Arabidopsis thaliana: one gene and its partners. The main gene of each other region encodes a partner of the protein of the gene in region 3 in a complex. Each region holds a gene or a part of one and is shown on either strand. Other genes may lie near its edges. The genes, in order: PSRP5, AT5G65220 and RPL27.

What was found.
Region 1: RPL27 (region 3) and PSRP5 share a complex: the UniProt entries of both Arabidopsis thaliana proteins name them as parts of the 50S ribosomal subunit.
Region 2: RPL27 (region 3) and AT5G65220 share a complex: the UniProt entries of both Arabidopsis thaliana proteins name them as parts of the 50S ribosomal subunit.

Annotation. Positions count from the first base shown.
Region 1 is NC_003074.8:21,067,232-21,074,281, forward strand, and holds PSRP5 (plastid-specific 50S ribosomal protein 5), read right to left. Parts: upstream 3,126-7,050; 5' UTR 3,027-3,125; coding exon 2,930-3,026; intron 2,677-2,929; coding exon 2,327-2,676; 3' UTR 2,180-2,326; downstream 1-2,179. Other genes in the region: AT3G56900 (Transducin/WD40 repeat-like superfamily protein), read left to right, coding at 1-77, 179-358, 589-647, 814-901, 991-1,072, 1,289-1,388, 1,478-1,529, 1,622-1,759 and 2 more; AT3G56920 (DHHC-type zinc finger family protein), read left to right, coding at 3,603-3,659, 3,988-4,167, 4,265-4,570, 4,661-4,882, 4,959-5,210; AT3G56930 (DHHC-type zinc finger family protein), read left to right, coding at 6,574-6,630, 7,019-7,050.
Region 2 is NC_003076.8:26,057,997-26,065,185, reverse strand, and holds AT5G65220 (Ribosomal L29 family protein), read right to left. Parts: upstream 4,022-7,189; 5' UTR 3,886-4,021; coding exon 3,547-3,885; intron 2,863-3,546; coding exon 2,680-2,862; 3' UTR 2,504-2,679; downstream 1-2,503. Other genes in the region: AT5G65225 (uncharacterized protein), read right to left, coding at 1-72, 284-386, 944-987, 2,252-2,256; TGA1 (bZIP transcription factor family protein), read right to left, coding at 4,437-4,589, 4,664-4,891, 4,980-5,251, 5,334-5,397, 5,486-5,563, 5,648-5,707, 5,792-5,872, 5,985-6,155.
Region 3 is NC_003076.8:16,407,620-16,414,781, reverse strand, and holds RPL27 (ribosomal protein large subunit 27), read right to left. Parts: upstream 4,001-7,162; 5' UTR 3,917-4,000; coding exon 3,614-3,916; intron 3,315-3,613; coding exon 3,213-3,314; intron 3,129-3,212; coding exon 2,937-3,128; 3' UTR 2,668-2,936; downstream 1-2,667. Other genes in the region: AT5G40970 (hypothetical protein (DUF 3339)), read right to left, coding at 475-882; AT5G40960 (transmembrane protein, putative (DUF 3339)), read left to right, coding at 1,831-2,037; FLA20 (putative fasciclin-like arabinogalactan protein 20), read left to right, coding at 6,852-7,162.

The DNA of each region.
Region 1 (7,050 bases), on a different chromosome or scaffold from region 3:
ACAAGTGATTCACAAAGAAATGTTAAAGCCCTTGAGTGGAGACCAAATGGTGGAAAATCCCTATCCATTGCCTGTCGGTGTGTATTATTGGTCTTCTGATCCTGTCTACTTTCTAGAGTAGCCAGTTTCATAGATAACTAAGTTTGATTCTACTGTAATAACTGTTCCATTGAAACAGGGGAGGAATATGCATATGGGCTGCTTCATATCCGGGTAACATGGCATTGGTTAGATCTGGTGGTTCCGCATTGAGGGGAAGTCTCTCTCGAGGATCTGGAACTCGTTGGATTTTGGTGGACTTTCTTCGGTGTCAAAATGATGAGCAAATTAGTGCTCTCTCATGGAGCCCCTGTGGAAGATATCCTAAACAAAATTTCTGCTATAACTGTTTTGCTTAACTTCATTTTGGAGTTGTTACTTAACTACATACGTTTCCATGATCATTTCAATTACCATAGTTGTTTATCAAGCCGCATCGCATGATAGGCATTTGTTGGGAAAGTATTTGGATTTGTTCGATCTTTTCTGTCTTTGCATCACATGGATCCCTAACTTTGTCCATCCTGTTACTCCTTGACCTATTTTCACGTATTTAGCATCAGCCTCATATGACAGTTCATCTTTCACCATATGGGATGTTTCTCAAGGTAACTAGAACGACAATTAAGAACACTTTCTTAATGCACAACATCATGCAAATGTTTGAACATTAATCCAGCTTCCTCTTATTTAACATCCTATCTGTTGCGTTGAGATGAGAAAATGCATCTTGCAATTCCTTGTTTCTGAAAGTGATATGTATACATCTTCCAGGGGCAGGGACACCTATTAGACGGGGACTAGGTGGAATATCAATGCTTAAATGGTCACCTACAGGAGACTACTTCTTTGCAGCAAGATTGTAGGACATCAACTCTCTTTCTTTTTTACAGATGTGGAAAGTAGCTTCCTGTTTGATATGATTGCTAATAAAATGTTTTTCTGTCACAGTGATGGGACTTTTTGTCTTTGGGAAACAAACACATGGACATCTGAACCCTGGTCTTTGTCTAGTGGATCTGGATCTGTCACGGTAAGATCGTGAGCCTATAATAGTGAGATATGCAATAGAGTATTGTTAAAAGCGTTTTGTTGGAGAGGTTAACGTCACTAGTGTGGTATGCATAGCTTATGTACATGACTCCATTGTACTAAAGCATTCATTTCCTTCTTTTATGTATGAAATTGCAACTGTGTTCCATCTTCGTAAATGGACCAAGCAATAATACTATACTCCCTTCTATGATAGGGAGCGATATGGGATCCCGAAGGACGGTTTATCTTGATTTCGTTTTCGAAATCTTCAACACTGGGCTCTGTTCATTTCTCATCCAAGCCACCATCCTTGGGTATGCAGAAACTTTGAAGTCGTTTTGCCTATACTACTAGAAATACTTACCAGTTAGCACACTAAATCTCTGTTTTGGTTTACTTTCAGATGCCCATCTATTACCAGTTGAATTGCCAGAGATTGCTTCTCTAACTGGCTGGTAAATTATTTGATTGTTTTGTTCAATAAACCCTTGCAAAGGCCTTCCGTTAATCACTTCTTGATATTGTCTTTCATAACTGAAATAACCAGTGAGGGCATCGAGAAGATAGCATGGGATGCATCTGGAGAACGATTGGCTGTGTCGTACAAAGGAGGCGATGAAAATTACAAAGGATTGATTGCCATCTACGACACACGAAGGACACCTATTGTATCAGCATCACTAGTGTAAGTAACTCTTACTGTTATCCATTCCATCGGACTTGACCTCCTTTTGTATATCTTTGCATTGTCTAAATGGATAGACAAAATCTGATGCTTTTATGATTACAGCGGTTTCATCAGAGGACCTGGAGAAAACCCGAAAGCTCTCTCCTTTTCATTCCATGACAAGTTCAAGCAAGGTCCACTCCTTTCTGTGGTAAGGCATATGCTTGATTAAGTCTCTTTTCATGCCAAAGTATTCATACAGGTAGAATCGGTTAGTTAATTAATCTTCCAAATAAACCTTGTTGCAGTGTTGGAGCACCGGATTCTGTTGCACCTATCCTCTCATCTTCCGCTCACATGTTCTTCCTTAATAGCCAAATGGTTCAAATTTAATGCAAGTTTCAAACTTTTTGGTTCTATTTTGTAGACTGCTCACTCTTTGTATACAAATGGTTTCTTTAAAGAACTCAGCTTTGAAGTTAAATCCAAAAACAATGGTTGCATTTGAAGTACATTAATGGTCTTTGAACACCAAAAAGAACATTACAAAAAACGAATACGAAAAGCAGCAAACAGTTGAGTCACTTAGACATTCTTGTTTTTCTTCATCTTGGAAGGTGGCCATCGACCCTTCTTCCTCATCTTACGCTTACGAACCAGACGTTTCCTGCGTAGCCTAATCTTTTTGGCCAGCTTCATCTTCAGCCTCAATTCCAAGAGCAGTTTCTCTTTAGCTTCTTTCGATTCCAACGGTAGTTTATCCACTGGAACAGCAGCAACAACAGTCTTTGGTTCCTCCTTGCTCTCAGGCTCAGCCCCGTCCACGCCAGAAGCAGCCGCCTTCACCACAATTCTTCCATGGCTAGAGTTCAAGCTGTAAGCACTGAGAGAGACTCTGTTCTTGGACTCGACAGCGTTGGGTTTAAGGCTCAAAACTGAAACACAAAAGATTAGAGCATTACAAGTAAACCAAGTGTTCGATTAAATGCTTCGATCTTTAAGCTTAAAACCTGACTGCCCTAAAACAAAACTTCACTTTTTTGGGACAATCAAGAAATTGAACTAGCCCAGGAGCTTCAATTTGGTTCCATGGGTCTCTATTGTTTTTTTTTTTTTCCCGATACAATTCCACGACAAAACGAAGCAAAAGCGAAATGTCAAGACTAGAAACGAGTGACAAGACATTACCTGGAGAAGCGAAAGACGGAGATTGAAGAAGGCGCGAGGAAGAAGAAGAAGAAAGAGAAGAGAGAGAAGGGAGAGAATTGAAGCAGAGAAGAGCCATCTTCTTCTTCTAATGGAAGAATTTGTCTTCAGACTTTCATTTGATAGTGGATAAGCTTTTTCTCCTTCTCTCTGTCTGTGTCTTCTTAACGAACGGATTGGATTGATCCGGCTCAATCCGGTTTAATTAAATACAGAAATTATCAAACGAACCGGCTTCTTTTTCCTGATTCGGGTTGAATAGATAAACCGGAGTGGGTACTTTTTATAGAACTGTGAGTTGACACGTGGCTGTCCCAGTGTGTGATTGGCGGGAGAAAGGCTAAGTTAAGGTTGTTCCAGAGAATGATGTTGGTTGGTGTTTTGAGCAACTTCCAATGGCGGAGGACAAATCTATGGAGAAAGGGAGAGAGAGAGAAAGAAACAAATCTATCAAACAGAAACCATAATCAGAAGACGAAAGGAGAACAAAATCCGCACAATCGGCGGCACGATTTGGATATCGCCGGTTTCATTCGCTTGGCTGTGAATTGAGGAAACTTGGATATGGAGCTGTAGGACGTGTCTAGCCGCGGATTCTGAGACTGGAAACAAAGCGAATAACATTTCTGAGTTTCATTCCCCGAAGAAAAACGTTATGTCTTCTCAGAATCTTGAACGACAAAGGATCTATCAAGTTTGGCCCGCCAAAAATGTAAGACTTCTGATGATTTGACAGCAAATTTACATTTTTAAAACCGCATTGTGGATTTTTATAGGATTTTAACTTTGGAAGATAAGAATCATGAATGAGGAAAATACCTCAAGATGCTCGGAATTGATTTTGTTACTAATATATGCTCTGCTTCTCTCTGTGCTAAAGTTTGAAGAACATGAGCTTTTAAGATTCTCTCAATGGAAATAGTCTAAGATTTTTATGTGTATTGTTTCACACATGATTTTAGCAAAAGCAAGATCCTAGCTTCTGTCTATATGAAATCATCATCTGAAGTGGAGTTTCTCAATTTGTTTTCGTGTTTCAGAAATTTTACTGTGGGGGAAGACTAGTGTTTGGTCCAGATGCATCGTCACTTCTTTTGACCACATGTATGATAGGAGGGCCAGCTATCGCTTTCTCCATCAGGATGGCTTATTTGATAAGCCATCGTCACCCTTTCTTTCATTCTCTTACTTTGATTGGTGCAATTCTTCTCACATTCATGGTATAACTATAAAGCTTTGCTATTTACTTACTTTCATAAGCCAAGTCATACCTTAAGCCAAATTCATGCATCTTCTTACGTCTTACTTTTTATCTAGGCTTTCACTTTTCTCTTCTTGACATCATCGAGAGACCCCGGGATTATCCCAAGGAACAAACAAGTGTCTGAGGCAGAGATTCCTGATGTTACCACCCAATCGACAGAATGGGTGACTAGCAAATTAGGAAGTGTGAAACTACCTCGAACAAAAGATGTAATGGTGAATGGCTTCACTGTCAAAGTGAAGTTTTGCGATACCTGTCAGCTATATCGTCCTCCTCGTGCCTTTCACTGCTCAATCTGCAATAACTGTGTCCAAAGGTTTGATCATCACTGTCCTTGGGTTGGTCAGTGCATCGCCTTGGTAAGTCTTACTATTAATTCTCACTTCCTAGACAAAGAACTGAGTAAGATCTATGAGTTGATATGTTATCTACGGGCTTTTGTTTTGCAGCGTAACTATCCATTCTTCGTCTGTTTCTTATCATGTTCAACACTCCTCTGCATCTACGTTTTCGTCTTCTCATGGGTCAGCATGCTTAAAGTCCATGGGGAATTCTATGTTGTTCTCGCTGATGACTTAATATTAGGTGTTCTTGGTCTCTACTGCTTTGTTTCCGTTTGGTTTGTTGGTGGACTTACTGTCTTCCACTTCTACCTTATCTGCACCAACCAGGCAAGATTCTTTAGCTTTTAACGTAGTTTCCAAGTAGCTTTTACTGTTGGTCTGATTCTCTTGTTATGTTTTGCAGACGACTTGTGAGAATTTTCGGTACCATTACGACAAGAAGGAAAACCCTTACCGAAAGGGGATCTTAGAGAACTTCAAGGAGCTATTCTTTGCAAAAATTCCACCACCTTTGATCAATTTCAGAGATTGGTCGCCAGAAGAAGAAGACGATGTGGAGGTTGGATCCATAGCCTCTGAGCTAGTCAGAGCCTTTGGTCCAAAAGACACGAAAATGAGCAGTGGAAAGTCTGATTCCGAAGCTAGAGAACGGTAACAACGGTGGCACGGCTGTCAAGAGATAAGTATGGATGAAGACGCCACAACGACTGCTTTGGTCTACCAAGAACCAGCGGAAAACAAGGAGAAGCTCGAGCGTGGAAGTGAGATCAAGATAGGCCAAAGTAAAGGACAAACAGGTGTAAAATCTACTTTTGTAATTCAAAGCCATGTAGCTCTCTTTCTCTCTTTACTCGTCAAGATGAGTTTTAAACTTTTTCCCATTAAGAATAGGAATTAGGAGAATTGGTGTACATAAATAATCGTTTCTTGCGTTACAGGTAATTCAATTTGGTGTTTATTATTGTCTCCATCTTTCTTTTTAGGGTTCATATAATGTATAGTGTTTCTTAGGTCTTACGGTAAGGGGTTTATAAGAAAAGAAGAAAAATTTGCCAATAGAGAAAACAAAGAGACAGAGGGATGTGAAGAGATGATGATGATTCGTTGATATGTTTAATATTCTATTTCTATATATAAAAAAGCTCAAAATACTTTACCAATTGAGCAAAAGCTATATACATATATAACAATAATATCTCATCTTATTTTTGTGAGATCTTTAATCAAATTGACTTCTTCTTCTTCTTTTTTTTTGCTGAAAGCATTCATAGAACAAACTAATTACAAAAATAATCGAAGAAGTGAAGCATTTATAAAAGGAAAAGAAGAAAGAAGATGAAGAAAAACACAAATGATGGAAAAAATCTAGGTGTGAAGCACGTTTGATTGAGAGATGATTTGACTTGGCTTCACCAGCTCATTGTTGCATCATTCTATTTATCTAATAATATTTATAGATATAGTTGGCCGACCAATGAAATAACAATATTTTTAAGTAATAAAAATCTAAGTTAAACAAGAAATTATTCCTTCTTAGTTCGAACAGACATCCTCCTATTAGCGTAATCACTTGTCCTAATTACATACATTGTCCCCATTATCTCATTTACTCCTGTCTGAATATTCGGTAATGAGATTGGAATAAAAAATATATTTATTACCAAAAGAAAAAGGAAAGAGAAAAGAGAAAAGGGGCAAAAGAGATCGCAATTTTGCAAAACAGCGAAAATAGTTCTTTGTGATTTTCGAGTGAGAGAGACGACAGCTTCCATTATCCCCTGTCTCTCTCCCTCTCGAACTACAAATCAAATTCGAGTGTTTTCATATTGTTAATCTTTTTCTTCAAGGAAAGAAGAGATTTTGTTTTCCGTTTCTGGGGGTTTTTCTTGATTCTGATCTCTGATCTGATCTCATCATCATTGTCCGTGGATTCTCCGATGGGTTTCTGATTGTGGGTTCTTTCAAATTTCTTCACTTTTGGAGCTTTTCTTCTCTCTGTCTTTTGTTTTCCCTCAGCTATGGCTTGGAATGAGACCAAACTCAAGAGGCTCTATCAAGTTTGGAGAGGAAGCAATGTAAGTCCTGACATTTTCCACTTTGCTTTCGTTTCTTTCACATTTTCATAACCTGGAGAAGATTTATCACATAGGTTTTGGTCATTAATGAAATCGCTCTTGGATTCCTTTGAGTCCAAGTCATAGCATTTCAGACTCTTGACTCTTTATTTTGGTAATGAAATAAGAAAGAAGCAAACCAGTTTTGTATCTAATTGTCACCTTCCGTTGACTCAGTTTAGCTCTTGTGTTTTAGATCATTTTAGACTCTTGACTCTTATTCATTCTCTTAGTAGTTGTAGTTGTTACTATCTTGAGTCTTGATTGTTCTTATATGGAAGTTTTCAGGCGATGGTCATTGGAAGCTATGGATTTAAAACTGACTTTGATTTTCCATTTTTCTTTGAAGAAATTTCTATGTGGCGGGAGGCTAATATTTGG
Region 2 (7,189 bases), 9.7 Mb from region 3:
TGGTAATCATTAATGGCTCTACGCTTGGTGGTCACAACTAAAATTAGCCAATTGGACTGTGTCACATAGCACCTATTGATATAGGCAAGCCAGAATTGATGAGATTGATATATTCCACATGCAAGTAAAGACAATTGTATTTACAAGATTAAGGTGTTTGAAGGCACTTTTTAACTTAATAATCAAACAATCTGTATTGACTTCACTCCAATGGTAGGAACTAGGAAAGAATGATGCTACTGAAAAACATGTATTGAATTGTTGTACCTTTGCATTATCTAACCTGAGATTTCTTAAAACCAATCCATAAAGCCGAACAAGGACATCTCCATAGAAGATCCAAGAAGCTGAAAAGGCACAAGGAGGTAAGAACCAACCAAAATAATCTTCAGATTCAATCCAAATGAGAATGATGCAATCATGCAAGTAGTGCTTATATCAACACATTGGTCTGACTTTGATATAAGAAGTGAACACAAGCAAAAAAAGGCCTATTACCGTTCTTACTGAAGGCTTTCTAAAGGACTTGGACAATCCACCTTAAACATATTGGTCTAAGCCAAGCAAACTGCATTTTTATAATGATAGCACTAGTCAGTCGAAATGCTCATAGAGAATAACTATCTATATGTTTTATCAAGCTTAAGAGATTGTACATATGTATATGCATCACCATCTAGAAAAAGGGGACAGTTAGTGTAAGCTAGAAAACAAAGTTAAAAGAAAAGGACCATTTAAGGTGACAAGATACAAAAAGTCTAAAAGTTCTGCTTTCCTTAATCAAGAGGAGAATTTTAAAAGCTTGAAATCATGTTAGAATCACAATTGCTTCATGAAATGAATCAAAGCCTGAAACTAGTGGATAGTAAATGAACAAAAAAGATTGGGCAGAAGCATCAACAAACCTCTGGAAGTTAAGAGAGTCGGTCTTGTTCATCTTTACCTTCACAGGCATCAAGAAGAAGACAAAAAGAAAATCCAAAATACCTGCATAAATAACATTTGTTGCTTTTAAGGAAATAGTAGTTGAAGTAAAACAGGCTAAAGAGTATGGACTTTTCACGAAAGCAGAAGACCAAGACAAACATGGAGGAAGCTTTTTGCATGAAAAGCAAGTCACATGTTGTGATCCAGAAGTACCAAAGATCTTTGCATGAACACTATACGTAAGACACTTACATAATAAAATAATCGTGTCAAAAGCATCATAGAAAGCTGTGCAAAGCACATGACTGGAGTTGGTAAGACAGGTCTTCAGAAAAATAGTTACAAATAAAACATACAAAGCTATTCATATGCAAATCTCATAAATCACCTTTAGATATGCAATTTTTGTCTCAAGTCTCTTGTACTTAACATAACACCGCATAGCTCACAAATCTACGCTGAAAAGTTGACGACTTTTGGTCAGTTTAAAATGCAGGATAAGTGTAAACTGATGTATGTGAACAGCACAATGCAGCTGTCAAACTCAACTTCAGATAAACTTTGCACTAAAAAAAAAACACAGTTTTGACCATTAGTCATTTAAAATAGTTGTGGGCAGATAGATCTTTTGACTTAATTGTAATATAAGGTATTAGGTGAATCATCGTGGTCCGATCATTGCTATATCAACAGTTTTGTTATCCAACTACAATGGTAATGAGAAATCAACATGTGAAAATCTACTACTGCTAGTTAACAAGAGCATCGATCTCAAATCAAAAACATTAAATTAACAACCATCTCAGTATCTCACAGGTTTGTTGGCTTCCAGAAATGACTACATACCTGTCAAGAACTCATATATAGCAGCCTCGATAGCAAACTACTAGTAAACGAAACATGACTTCTTATTGAACTATGTTTATATCAGTCGTATTCAAACTTTTAAGAAAAGAAAAAACAAAGAGAAGAAACTACTAATTTGAGATTATTTTATCACTAGTCCCCACTTCTGAAAGAAGATTTCAACACCACTGAGTCAGAAAAATTATTGGCCAGATCTTCAATATACTAATAAGAAAAGGACAAAAATAGTAAAACAAAAACCAAACCCATTGTTGGTTGACTAACAAAAAAAACTAACAATGAAGTCTCAATGAGATTTACCAAGATGAGATTTTTCTACTACATTCGATTGCATAAACGGATTTTATTTTGAAAGTGAATCGCTGAAATCTAGGGTTTCATGCCCAAACAAGAAACATCATCGGAAACATAATCGTATTAGTTGAATCCTTAAAATCTGTAAGAAATATCACTTTACCTCATAGACTCGCCGGAAAAAAAATCCAAACCCAGCCGGAATCTACCACCGAATACCTCATCTACGCACACAAAGACAGAAACTTTAACGCACCATTCTATTTCTAAGCCCACCATTGATTCCTCAATAAATTCCTAATTTTCCCGCCAATGTTTTGGATTTTTCCTTTTATTTATTTATCTTTATTCTTATTTGATGTTTTTCGAACTTCGAATGATTACTAGTTTCTTTGTCAGATTGGATGATAATTCTGATGAAACATGAAGGAACGATTTCAATCTTTAAGGGATTCATGTAAACTACTTGATAAGGAAAGTGTTTACACCAAAAGAAAAACAAATACAAGATGGTTCAGCAACAAATAACAGAGATTAACAACATCTCGAGGAAACAACAAGGAAGAGACCATAAATCAATAGCGGGTTTTTTCAAGCAGATTTAGCAGCTTCAGCTGCTTCTTCTGCAGCTTCTTCTTCTTGAAGTTTCTTCAGAGACGGAGGTGGTCTTGGTACTATGCTTTTCTTCCATTGTCTGTCAAGTTTCCTCGACAACCTTTTCTTTATCCCTTCTTTGATCTCCCTCTCTCTTTTAACCGTCAACATCCGAGCAACCTAAATCACCCACAACCAAAAGATCACATCTTCAGTACCAGAAAAGAGACGGACGTAAGCCAAAAAAACCAAGAAATCTCTACTTGAATTTAGTGTCATCTCCAGCTAAGTTGGGTGGATTAGTCACTTAGAGCTCAAGATTCATGTCTGATTGAAATCCCAGCAATCAGTAAAACCAAAGCAAGTAAATTCTCATCTAAAGCTAGTTTGGTGCATTGGCACACTTAAAAGACTAAACAAACGATATCGCAAAGCTCAACATTCATGTCTAACTGAAACCGTAGTATCCTAAGAACATATTCGAAGCTTGTGTGCAAGAATCTATAAAAGGGGATGGATTGAACTCAATATTAAATCTCTAATTCCATTCCACCACCTACCAAAAACAGTATTAGATATCACAAAACAGTAACTTACAATGTTGCCATTGTTAGAGTTTAGAATCAACTATAATGTGTAGAACAAACAACACAAAACATTGCTTATAGAGTTCGCTAACATCTTCTACAACTTCATATTAAATAATCCTATTTTCCATGGTGATGATTTCAATGTTTCCATCAATAAACCACATATCCCAATTTTGTTAAACCCTTTCAAAGACTGCCAAAATCGACCAGATAACACAAAGTAGATTTCACAATTTGGAATAATTCTGCATTAAAGAGTAAGAAAAAAGCTTACTTGTTTCTTCATACGACGAAAGTCGCTAGATTTGAACTCATTCCTTGCCGATTTCTGGAGACGAAGCATAAAGAGCTCACCTTTAAGGTCAACAACCTCCTCTTGTAACTGCTCCGTCGTCTTCGATCTTATCTCTTTCAATTCCGCCTCTCTTTTCGACATCATCACCACCGACGGTTTAGGAGACGACGACGATATCGTCGCCGCCGCGGGGACGCGAGCAGAAACCTGGTGCTGGATTCTGACACCATGGAATGAAGACGAAGTTGAAGTCGCCGAAGCAGTTCCTCTACGAAAAATCGCCGCCGTCCCCGGCGTAGCGATTGAGAGACTAAGCATTGTAGCTATGGCGGAGGAAGAAGAAGAAGAGCAGAGTTCTCACTCTCGAGCGATTTTGAGGATAATGAAGAGAAGAAACTCTATGAGATAAGGCTTTTCTTATATCTTACTATTTGCCCCTTTATTTACCTCTAATTACGAAACTGGTCCAAACGTATCAAAAAAAATCAAATAGGTGTCACACAAAACGTAAAATTAAGTAAAGCCCCTATAGTTTTCAAATTGCAGATAGCTCGACATTATTACAGGGGATTTGGAACCAAGTTTATATAATTCTGAAATTGTTTACAAATCAAACAAACATTCGAAAAACTTGCCTCTTTCAAAAGCTAAAAAGTACAAATTTTTGCACCCCCACCTTTTTCTGATATTTACAACTTATCAATACATGATGTTTTTCAAATTTTCTAATTCCGCCGCAGAGTAAAAATAAATATCAGCAGCAACCCCTCTATTTATTCAGAGTAGTCCTCTGTTTTCAGATGCACTCATTCTTCATTTTTTGAGGTCTTTCCATTTTCTTCATTTGGTTGTTACAAAATAACTCAAACCTACGTTGGTTCACGATGTCGAGTTGCCCAACTTGAGCTCAAGGCTCTAAGCCGTTGAAAATACTCACCAAGAGCTAATAATCCTCGAGCCGCTTGTCGCGTTGTCAATATCCGATACATTTGTTGCAATGTTTCATGTCTCAAGTGATCAGCCTAAGAATGAACAAACAAAATCAAGAAACTGATACTATAGTATTTTCAAATGAGTTTGAATATATATATTTTACCTGATTTACGAAACTGACCAAAGCTTCTAATCTATCCATAGCAGAATTCACCTGAGGAATGTAACTTCCTTCACCGAGTTGTCCCGCTGCAACGCAGTCCGCAAGGGTGTGTTGCAGCTTCTCCATACCTTGAGTCAACGCGTCTTCTGCTTGCTGACACGATTGTTTTAGATTGCATACATCTAGAAGTTGTTGATCCGTCAAGACATCAAAATGTGGCAAAAGAACCTACAAAAAAAAACATTTGAAACATTGTAATCTTGCTTGTTTCCTTCTATTCATTAAACATTACGCTAGATTGTTATTTGTTTTATACCTTGAGAAGATCGGAGGGTCGAAATCCGCCAATCCATAAGAAGAATCGTTCTGCTGAAGTTCTCCACATCCCTGACATGACGAAGAAGACATCGGCTTTGGCAGCAGACGATTTCATCCGGAAAAGCTCAAAGTAATGTTTCATGGCGTTTTCGACTAGCGAACGAAGCTCGATATCGTTAATGTGTCCGTGTAAAACTGTTCTTAGTTCACATATCTGTCTGTTCTGTTCTTCAACCCAATGTCCATATTCCATTTCAAATGCAGCAATCCCTGCAAATCAAATAAGCTTCCACCAATCAAAATCTTGAATTCTATATTTTTTCCAAAAGACTCATTGTTCTTGATTCAAAACCTGGATTCATGGTTTCCGAAAAACCGAGAGAATTAGTATCTATTCCGTTTCCTACATAGAATCCCTGAAAACATTCATATTCAATCAGAAATTGCATTATATTTTGGAACTCGAAAGAAAGCGAATATATATTTAGATTTCATTTCATTAACCTGTTGTCTAGCACGATCGAGTTCTTGCTCTAATTGAATTAGCTTCAACCTGCTTGTTTCCAGTTGCTGAACATAAGCCTGCAAAAAAAAAAAACAATCAAATCTCTCAACTCATTAGGCAAACAGAAACAGTTTACCAAGGGGAAGAAAATGAAGTCATACCTTCTTGCGCAAGCGACTTTTCCTAGCAGCCTCGCGGTTTTGAGCAAGCCGTCTTTGTATCTGTAACGATATAACGATTTAGTCTATATGATGCGTAGAAATTTATGATTAAGAAACTGATAGAGAAGTATTTGAATAGCTAACCTTATCGGGATGTCTAGACGTTGAAGCTTCTTGATCGAACATGTGAGGAGTTCCTGCTGTTCCATGGGAAGTATCCTCTGACTATAAAAAAAAAAAAAAGATTGTCAAGAAATGAAAGCTAGTTTAAATTTCTGAAAACAGACCAAACAAATTTATCATCAGGAGGTTGAAGAGCAATGAAGTAAAAAAGTACCACGTTGTTGTCTAGTTTCTGATTATTCGGTATTATTATGTGGTTTGGTGTGTTCATAGTCCCATTGCTAATATTGCTTTTGAAACTCTCCCCCCACATACCGAATTGATGGACAGGTTCGTATATACCAACTCTTCTCGGTGGCACAAAATGTGTCGATGTCGAATTCATGTTTTCCTCAACTGAAAACAAAGAACAAATTGTTTAAACAATGTGACAAAGCATTCAAAATCAAGCAGATCAAGACATTCCAAAGAACAAAAGATGAGCATTAGTTTTCAACCAAAAGTTAGATCACACAAAGTCAAACAAGCATAACACGTAAAGCAAATAGTGAACTTTTGATGTTTCTTCGCCAAATTCTTCGAAGAAAACAGGACAAAATCATCTTTAAATTCCAGAGACTTTATACAAAGAAAGAAACCAGAGGGGACACGGAGATTCCCTAAGACCTTGGAGAGCACCAAAAGATCACAACTGAAACATATATTGTAATGACAGGCTAAAAGAACTTAAGGCTAAAAGAACTTAAAGGATTTAACTTCAAATCACCCATTTCATCAACACAAACTCCTCACCATCCGCCTTCAAATCTAAAACCTTAAACCTACACCGGAAAAAAGAGAAGAAGCCATTTCCCCAATAGTGTTTGGAAGGTGTCAAATAGATAAGATGATAAAAATTAATGTTAAGCAGACGAAAAGCTCCATAAGTCAAGTTTCCACTTATTAGGATGTCACTTTATTTTCAGCACCTAATTGTGTGGACCAACTTAACATAGTTTAGCAGTTAAAACGACTATACAAAAAATAAGAAATTCCCATTCATTGCTTTGTTAAATTTTTGTACGCAAATGGTAACGAAAGGTGAAATCAAGATAGTAAGAGATATCAACAATAAAAGCAAAAGCCAATCATGAAGTCAATAGATAGGTAGATTGAAACATCTTCTTATGCAAGAAATATTCGAATCAGTTCCTTCCAGCTTAAATTCCAAGCAAACCAGAAAATCATATTGAAGTAATCAATCGAGTAAATACAACAAAAAAAAGGGGAAACAAAATTAACCAAAACAATCAATAAGAGAAAAGTTTTAGGCTTTTAAGATATTAACAAGATTAGATTAGAACAGAGCAAAGTCAATCAAACCTTGTGATGTTATCTGAAGCCGAACCTTGTGATGCTATCTGAAGTCAAGGCAGCAAC
Region 3 (7,162 bases):
TAGGGTCTCAAGCAGGGTGATTTAAAAAGGTTGTACACAAATAAATAATCGGTAATTTTGTTTTCCACAATTCAAATGAGATAACAATATCCTCTGATCTCTCGTAGCTTCAGCATGTAATAACGTAACATAAAGCATCTTCATTTAGTTACAAATTTGGTTTGTTCCCACATTTTTCACTAATCTCTGCTTCTTTGCTGATATGGTTTCAAGGTAAATATTGTATAGACAACTAAAAATATGTGATTTTGTATTTCACAATTCAATAGCAAAGATGGAATCAAACATCAAATTTTGCATTATAACTTAATGACATCAATACAAGCTTAATGATTATTACATTTTTCAGTATTAACTCAATGCACAACACAAACTAGAGAACAGAGTAAAGTATACAAATCCCTAAAAACAGAGTTCCAGATCTCAGAAGATTCCTGAGAGGGAGAGAGCTCAGATTCAGCAAAAGGGTTACCTTTATTTCGGCCCATAAATTAGCCGGTAGTGATGTGGAGATTGACAGCGAGGATCAAGATGGTGTAAGCAGCGAAGAAGATGAGTGTGTGAACGGCGATGGCTTTGCCGTTGGTTTTCATGCCGCCGAATTGGAGAGTATGGTGATGTCCGGGCAACGAGAAAAGAAGTCCCGGAGAAAGGATAACGAATAATACAACTCCGACGAGAACTGGAGCCCAATCCGCCATTGCTGTGAAGTAGAAAACGTAAAAGCAGACGCCTTTTTTCGATAAAGCGGTGGCGTGACTCGTGAGAGAGAGTAAAAGAGTCAAAAACAGAGACTTGAAAGTTGAAACAAAGAAGAAAAGCTGAGCTAAGCCCAATTCTTATTTTATTTTCTTCATATTTATTTTGAGTTAATTCCAACATTATTATTTTTTGTTACAATTTTGAGATAATCTCGTATATATTGCCCACTAGAAAGTAAAAAGATTAGCATTTCGGGATGGAAAAAATATATTTGTCAAACAAATTACTAAGATTTATATCGTCTTGATTTTATAGTCACCAAAAAAAATTATAAATACTAAATTTTGGAGATATGAAAAGTGTACAATAACTATATAAAAAAGTTGAATTTTTGTTTTTAGTAGGAAAAAAAAGTGGAGAAATATTGTTCTCTTCTTACGGAATATATTGGTCGCTTAGCAAGTGGTGGACCCGTTACTTGTAATCTAATTTAGTCTTCTCAAGTCAAACAAATTCTACTAATCAAGAATACATTCCAAGTAATAAAATAACAAAATTCCTCCAAACGTATTTCGAAAAGTGGCGTGTACATTTATTGATCACCGAAAGATATGTCGCTATTCATGTGAATCACATAGGATTTTGAATGTGACATAGAACCGTTTCTCTACAAATTACATACATTGTTTATTTTTCTTCTGTTTTTACATTGCTTAATTGTAAAACAGAGTACAATTATATTATTGAAAGTTATTCTTCCAAAGGCAAAACTGCACCACGTAAATTGGTTAAACCGCTCAAACCGCTCAAACCGCATAGAATAGATATACAGCTCAAACCATGTTTATTCTAATACAATCGAGCATTTGATATGCTTAAGCTAGAATCGTTTCAAATTCAAACTCTCCTTCGATAGCCAATTACGATTAAATTAAGACACCTCACCTAAAGCAAAATTCCAAAAAATCTCTCTCTTCCTTTAATTGTAAAGAACTAGACTTTATCAGATTCTCATTCTCACAATTCCATCATCTCCTTTTTCACCCATCCAAACCTATTTCCCACTCTCTTCTTTCTTTCTCCATTTCTCTTTTTCTTTTTCTTTTGTTCTTGTTCTTGTAAGAAGAGATGCATGATTGGGCTGCACCGTTGATAGCTTCGGCTTTGTTCGCGTTTCTGTCGCCAGGGTTGATACTGCAGTTTCCGGGGAAAGAATCTCCGGTGGGTTTCATGAACATGAAGACGACGGTAGCTTCTATTTTCGTTCACACTGTTCTCTATGGTCTCTTTCTTATCCTCTTTCTCGTTGTTCTCAACGTCCATGTCTATGCATAGCTCATTTATTACACTCATGTATGTGCCTCTCTGCTTTGTGCTACAAGGTTTTACTACTGATATGCTTTGTTTTAGGATTTGTCTTTGTTCTTCTTCTTAATTACTGCTCCTAGAATTTAAAACTTCTCATCAATTACTATTTTTGCTCTAGGCCTTTAGTGTTATTCAATAATATATCGTCATCTTACATATATATATCGTTACATACATGTGTATAAGTATTTGACCTCAAGCTGGTGAAATATGGCCTAAAGATAACACAAAGGATCTAATATGGTACAGGTAAAACGTTAGCGAAATTGATGGATTCAAGATGAGCAAGATATAGATAAATGAAAAAAAAAAAACATAGAATAATAATTTCATTCCACTAATTATGCAATGATAGACGAAAATGAATATTATTCAATTTCTTTTTTGTACCACTATCTACATATTCCGAAATGCTAAGTAATTGGGCTAAAACCCATTATTTCGCTAGAAGGCCCATAAAGTCTTCGGCTTCTTAGACTAACAATGGATCCATTTTTGGGATCCAAATAAGTTTTATAATTTTTATAATAAAAAAACCTCAAATAGACACTTGAACTAGATTTATACTTGACTAAATCTAATTGGGGCATTCAAAGGTTTGGTGGTCTCTCTTATCAATGATTCAGAATTACTAAGTTGGAAGAGAAATTCACTAAATTAAAACCTTTGAGGCTTTGACTAATTAACAATAACCATTTGATTACACTAATAACTCAAGTTGGGTAAAAATCCGCCTGCTTGGGACTCAATTTGACAAAAGAGAGGCTTGGATTCGACAATACAACCAACTCTTAATACTCTGAAAGGATCATTTTTCATAAACAAGACTAAACAAAAAGAGACAAGGAAACTCCACATTCAATCTTCTAGCACTCCGGATTGGCTTCAGCATCATCGACTGAGGCAGATGCAAGAACAAGTTCTGGTGTAGGAAGTGTGTACGAGTAATTCTCGCGTCTCGCCTTCTTCTTCTCCCTTTGCAATCTGAAGTTTTCTCTCTTTCTTGCTCTGTAGCTATTGGGATTCTCTGGTACAATTTCTCTTGGATACACACTTATCTGCAAAAACAAGTCTCATTTCCTTTAACATCCTAGAAGATTAAGAAAGCTTATAAACCTTACTCAGTATAACTACAGGTATACCTTCTTCCTGTCAGGACCAAACTTCTCGAACTTGACTAATCCATCGATTAAAGAGAAGATGGTATGATCTTTACCAATCCCAACATTTTTCCCAGCATGGAACTGCACCAAACATCACCATTCATGAATCAATCTTCTCAAACAATATAGTTCCATCCTAAACACAAACATAACGTAGAACTTCCAGAGAAATGGCAATGGCATCAGAAACAAGAGCTACTAAATACGAAAATTCATCCTAAACCCAGATGTGTTCGAGAATGGAATCTGAAAACAGAGCTTGAGAGCTAAACCCATAAGAAACTGACCAAATTGACAGAGTTGCGGTGAAATTAGAAGAGAATTGAAAGAGGAGCTTAAGAGGTTCTCAATTTCAACAATTCTGTGTTCTTAAGTGTTACCTTAGTGCCACGTTGACGAACAATGATAGCACCAGGTTTAGCAACTTGGTCACCGTAGATCTTGACGCCGAGTCGTTGCCCAGGAGAATCACGACCGTTCTTGGTGCTACCAGCTCCTTTCTTATGGGCCGATTCAATTGTCAACGGAATCGGAGCTTGAAGATTTTCCAGAGGAAGAGTCACCGTGAAAGAGGTTTTGGGGGAAAAACTCAAATCGCCTCTAAGAAAAGACGAAGTCGAAGAAAGAGACAAGCCTTTGAATGCCCCAATTAGATTCAAACTCATCGATGTTGCCATCGCCATTGGTAAAATCACCAGAGAATTCGTTGGAGTTTCGAAATGGAGAAATTAGGGTTTTCTGAGGTTGAAGAAGAAGTTCTTCTCCTTATCGTTTCGTCTCACTCTCTCGATTAGTGACCACTAAAATTACACGTCATCAAATAATGTAAGATAAGGTGAGTACACGTCAGCAAGTAAATAATGGAAAAAGAGAAAAAAGTGAATGTTGACAGTGGGATTTGAACCCACGCCCTTTCGGACCAGAACCTTAATCTGGCGCCTTAGACCAACTCGGCCATATCAACTTGTTGTATAAAATATTAAATCTAAATATATAGACTACAGTTTCAAATATTCATTATATAGTAGAAATTTCTCAGATAAAAACAAAAACCAAACTTAGAATAATAATATGCAAGAAGCAGCCAAAAATAATTATAGACTTTAGCTATAATATTAAAACATAAATTAGGATTTATACTGACAATGTCACTCTAAAAATTATTTTTACATTGGCGGAAAAATGTAATTTTCTGATTTGGCAAAAAAAAAATATTATTTGATTTTGACATGTTTTTACAGTTTTGACCGAAAATTAAAAATTATATTATTTGAGTTTCATAGACTGTCTAGTTGGTTAGAGGAGAAAAAAGTATTATGAACAAGATGAGAGATCACTATGACTCTCCTGTCATTAGTAGCAAGCCTTAAATAATGTTTGGAGATTTTAATGAGATTTTAGAACTTGTGGAGCATTCTAGAGCTGAAGACAACCCTATTATACCAATGGAATGAGAGACTTTCAATCAGTGGTAAACTATTGCTTTGTTTGAGACCTATCATCCCATGGTCCGCTGTATACTTGGTGTAATAAGCGAGAAAATGATCTTATCTTAAAGAAGTTGGATAGAGTTATAGAGACATGGACACAAACTTTTCTTTTTGATTGGATGGAAAGTCATAGGAGAGTTATAGTGATCTCTCATCTCTACTAATTGTTTATGGTTTTCATATTTATTGACAAAAGTATCTTTCAAAGACCTTCATTGTTCTTGAAATTCGACGATGAAGGTCTTTGGAACGGTAAATGGTAATTGGTTGTTTATTCTCTTTTAGTTATGTTTTCTATATTTTCATTTCTTTCTGCCTTCAAAAGAATTTGATATCATGTCTGTTTCCTATTCAATTTGCCTACTAATGATTCTCTCTCATAGAATTATTGTGAACAGCCACTAAAATATTTTTACCATAATCGACATGCTTTCTTATCATAAGTCACTACACCTACTTGGAAATGAACACTGGATTGTTTGAAACAAATGCATATTTCGAAGGTTGAGTTAGAAAGTGATGTAAGATACTTATGCAAAAACTTAAGAGTAAGTCTTGCTAATCATCCAAAAGACCATGAGAAAATAACATTTTTATGTCGAAAGGGGAGGATTCTCTTTGTGCTCCCTCTGCCAATAAAGAGGCAAAACCAATATAGCTAGAAACCTAGCAATGTTCTTAAGAACGAAATATATAGCAAAGTCATTGGCTCCAATCCTTTTTGGATTTGGGTAGACCCATGTAATTACTAGGATCCGGATTAGTTATATGTTAACCATGTAAAAACTATGTTAAATAATTAAGAAATTAAATGTCCATTATCAAATTAAACTTCATCTGTTTTTCATTATACTGAAAATTACAAAACTAAAAATAAAGCAAGTAAGCAAAATCTAAAAATCCTCGTCAAGCTTGAAGACATGATCATCATTAAACGCAGCGTTTCCATGAACACTAGACATAACAGAAGCTTTCTGATACTCACCAACTCTCTTCTCAAAAAAGTTGGTCTTACCCTGAAGCGAAATCAATTCCATCCAATCAAAAGGATTAGTCACACCATACACCTTACCACACCCAAGCGCAGCCAACAACCTATCAGCAACGAACTCAATGTACTGACTCATCAACTCACGATTCATCCCAACCAAGGCACAAGAAAGCGCGTCACAAACAAACTCTCTCTCAATCTCAACAGCATCACAAACAATCGCTTTCAAACGATCTTCATCAAACTTAGTTCTAAGAAGACTATATATCAAACAAGCGAAATCACAGTGAAGACCTTCGTCTCTCGAAATCAATTCGTTTGAAAAAGTGAGTCCAGGCATTAAACCTCGTTTCTTCAACCAGAATATCGAACAAAAGCTACCGGAGAAGAATATACCTTCAACGCAAGCAAACGCTACGATTCTCTCAGCGAAGCTTTGAGATCCGTTGATCCATTTCATAGCCCATTCTGCTTTTTTCGTCACAAGGAATGGTTTCGATTGCACGAAAAAGATGATCTCTCTCTTTGTTGTCTTTGATATACGTGTCGAGAAGGAGACTATACATCTCGGAGTGAATATTCTCAATCGCGATTTGGAATCCGTAGAAGGCACGAGCTTCTGAGATCTGAACATCGGACATGAATCTAGTTGAGAGATTCTCGAGAACGATTCCGTCTGATGCGGCGAAGAAGGCGAGGACGTGTTTAATGAAGTGACGTTCGTCGTTGGTTAGTGAGTTTTCCCAGTCGCGATTGTCTTGAGAGAGATCGACTTCTTCGGCTGTCCAGAAGGATGCTTCGGCTTTCTTGTACATCTCCCAAATCTGTGGGTATTGGATTGGGAACATACAGAATCGATCTGGTGTTGGTGTTAGGATTGGTTCCTCTGGCATCGAAGGCATTTTTTCCGGTGAAGAAGATTTAATCGATGAGTGTTTATTGTTGTGTGGATTATCATGGATTTGTAATTGAGATATTTATTCTGAAAATTTGGAGATTTAGGAGGGAAAATGTAAAAATGTTTTCTTGTTTTTAGAGAGGGAAATAAGAAAAAGAAGCGGGAGGGAAAATGTGAAAAACTGAAAACTAAAAAAGAAAAAAACATATGGGCCTGTTGACAAAAAAACACATGGGCCTATGAATAAAAAGCCCAGTAAATATTTTCCCTCTCTTAATAGGACGGACTATAAAAACTGTAACTTCCTCTGCAACGGCTTTTCTCTGAAACCAAACGAAAAAAAAAGCTCGAAGAACGCATCAATGGCGTCGAAGCTTCTAACGACCTTCTTCCTCATATTTTTCGTTCTCGATATCGATCTCGTCGCAACTTCTATGACATCTGTTTCATCCGCCGTGGAAGTTCTTTCCGATTCCGGCTACTTATCCATGGGACTCACACTAAAGCTCGCGAATCAAGATCTAAACCTCGAAGATTGGCAAGAACTCAC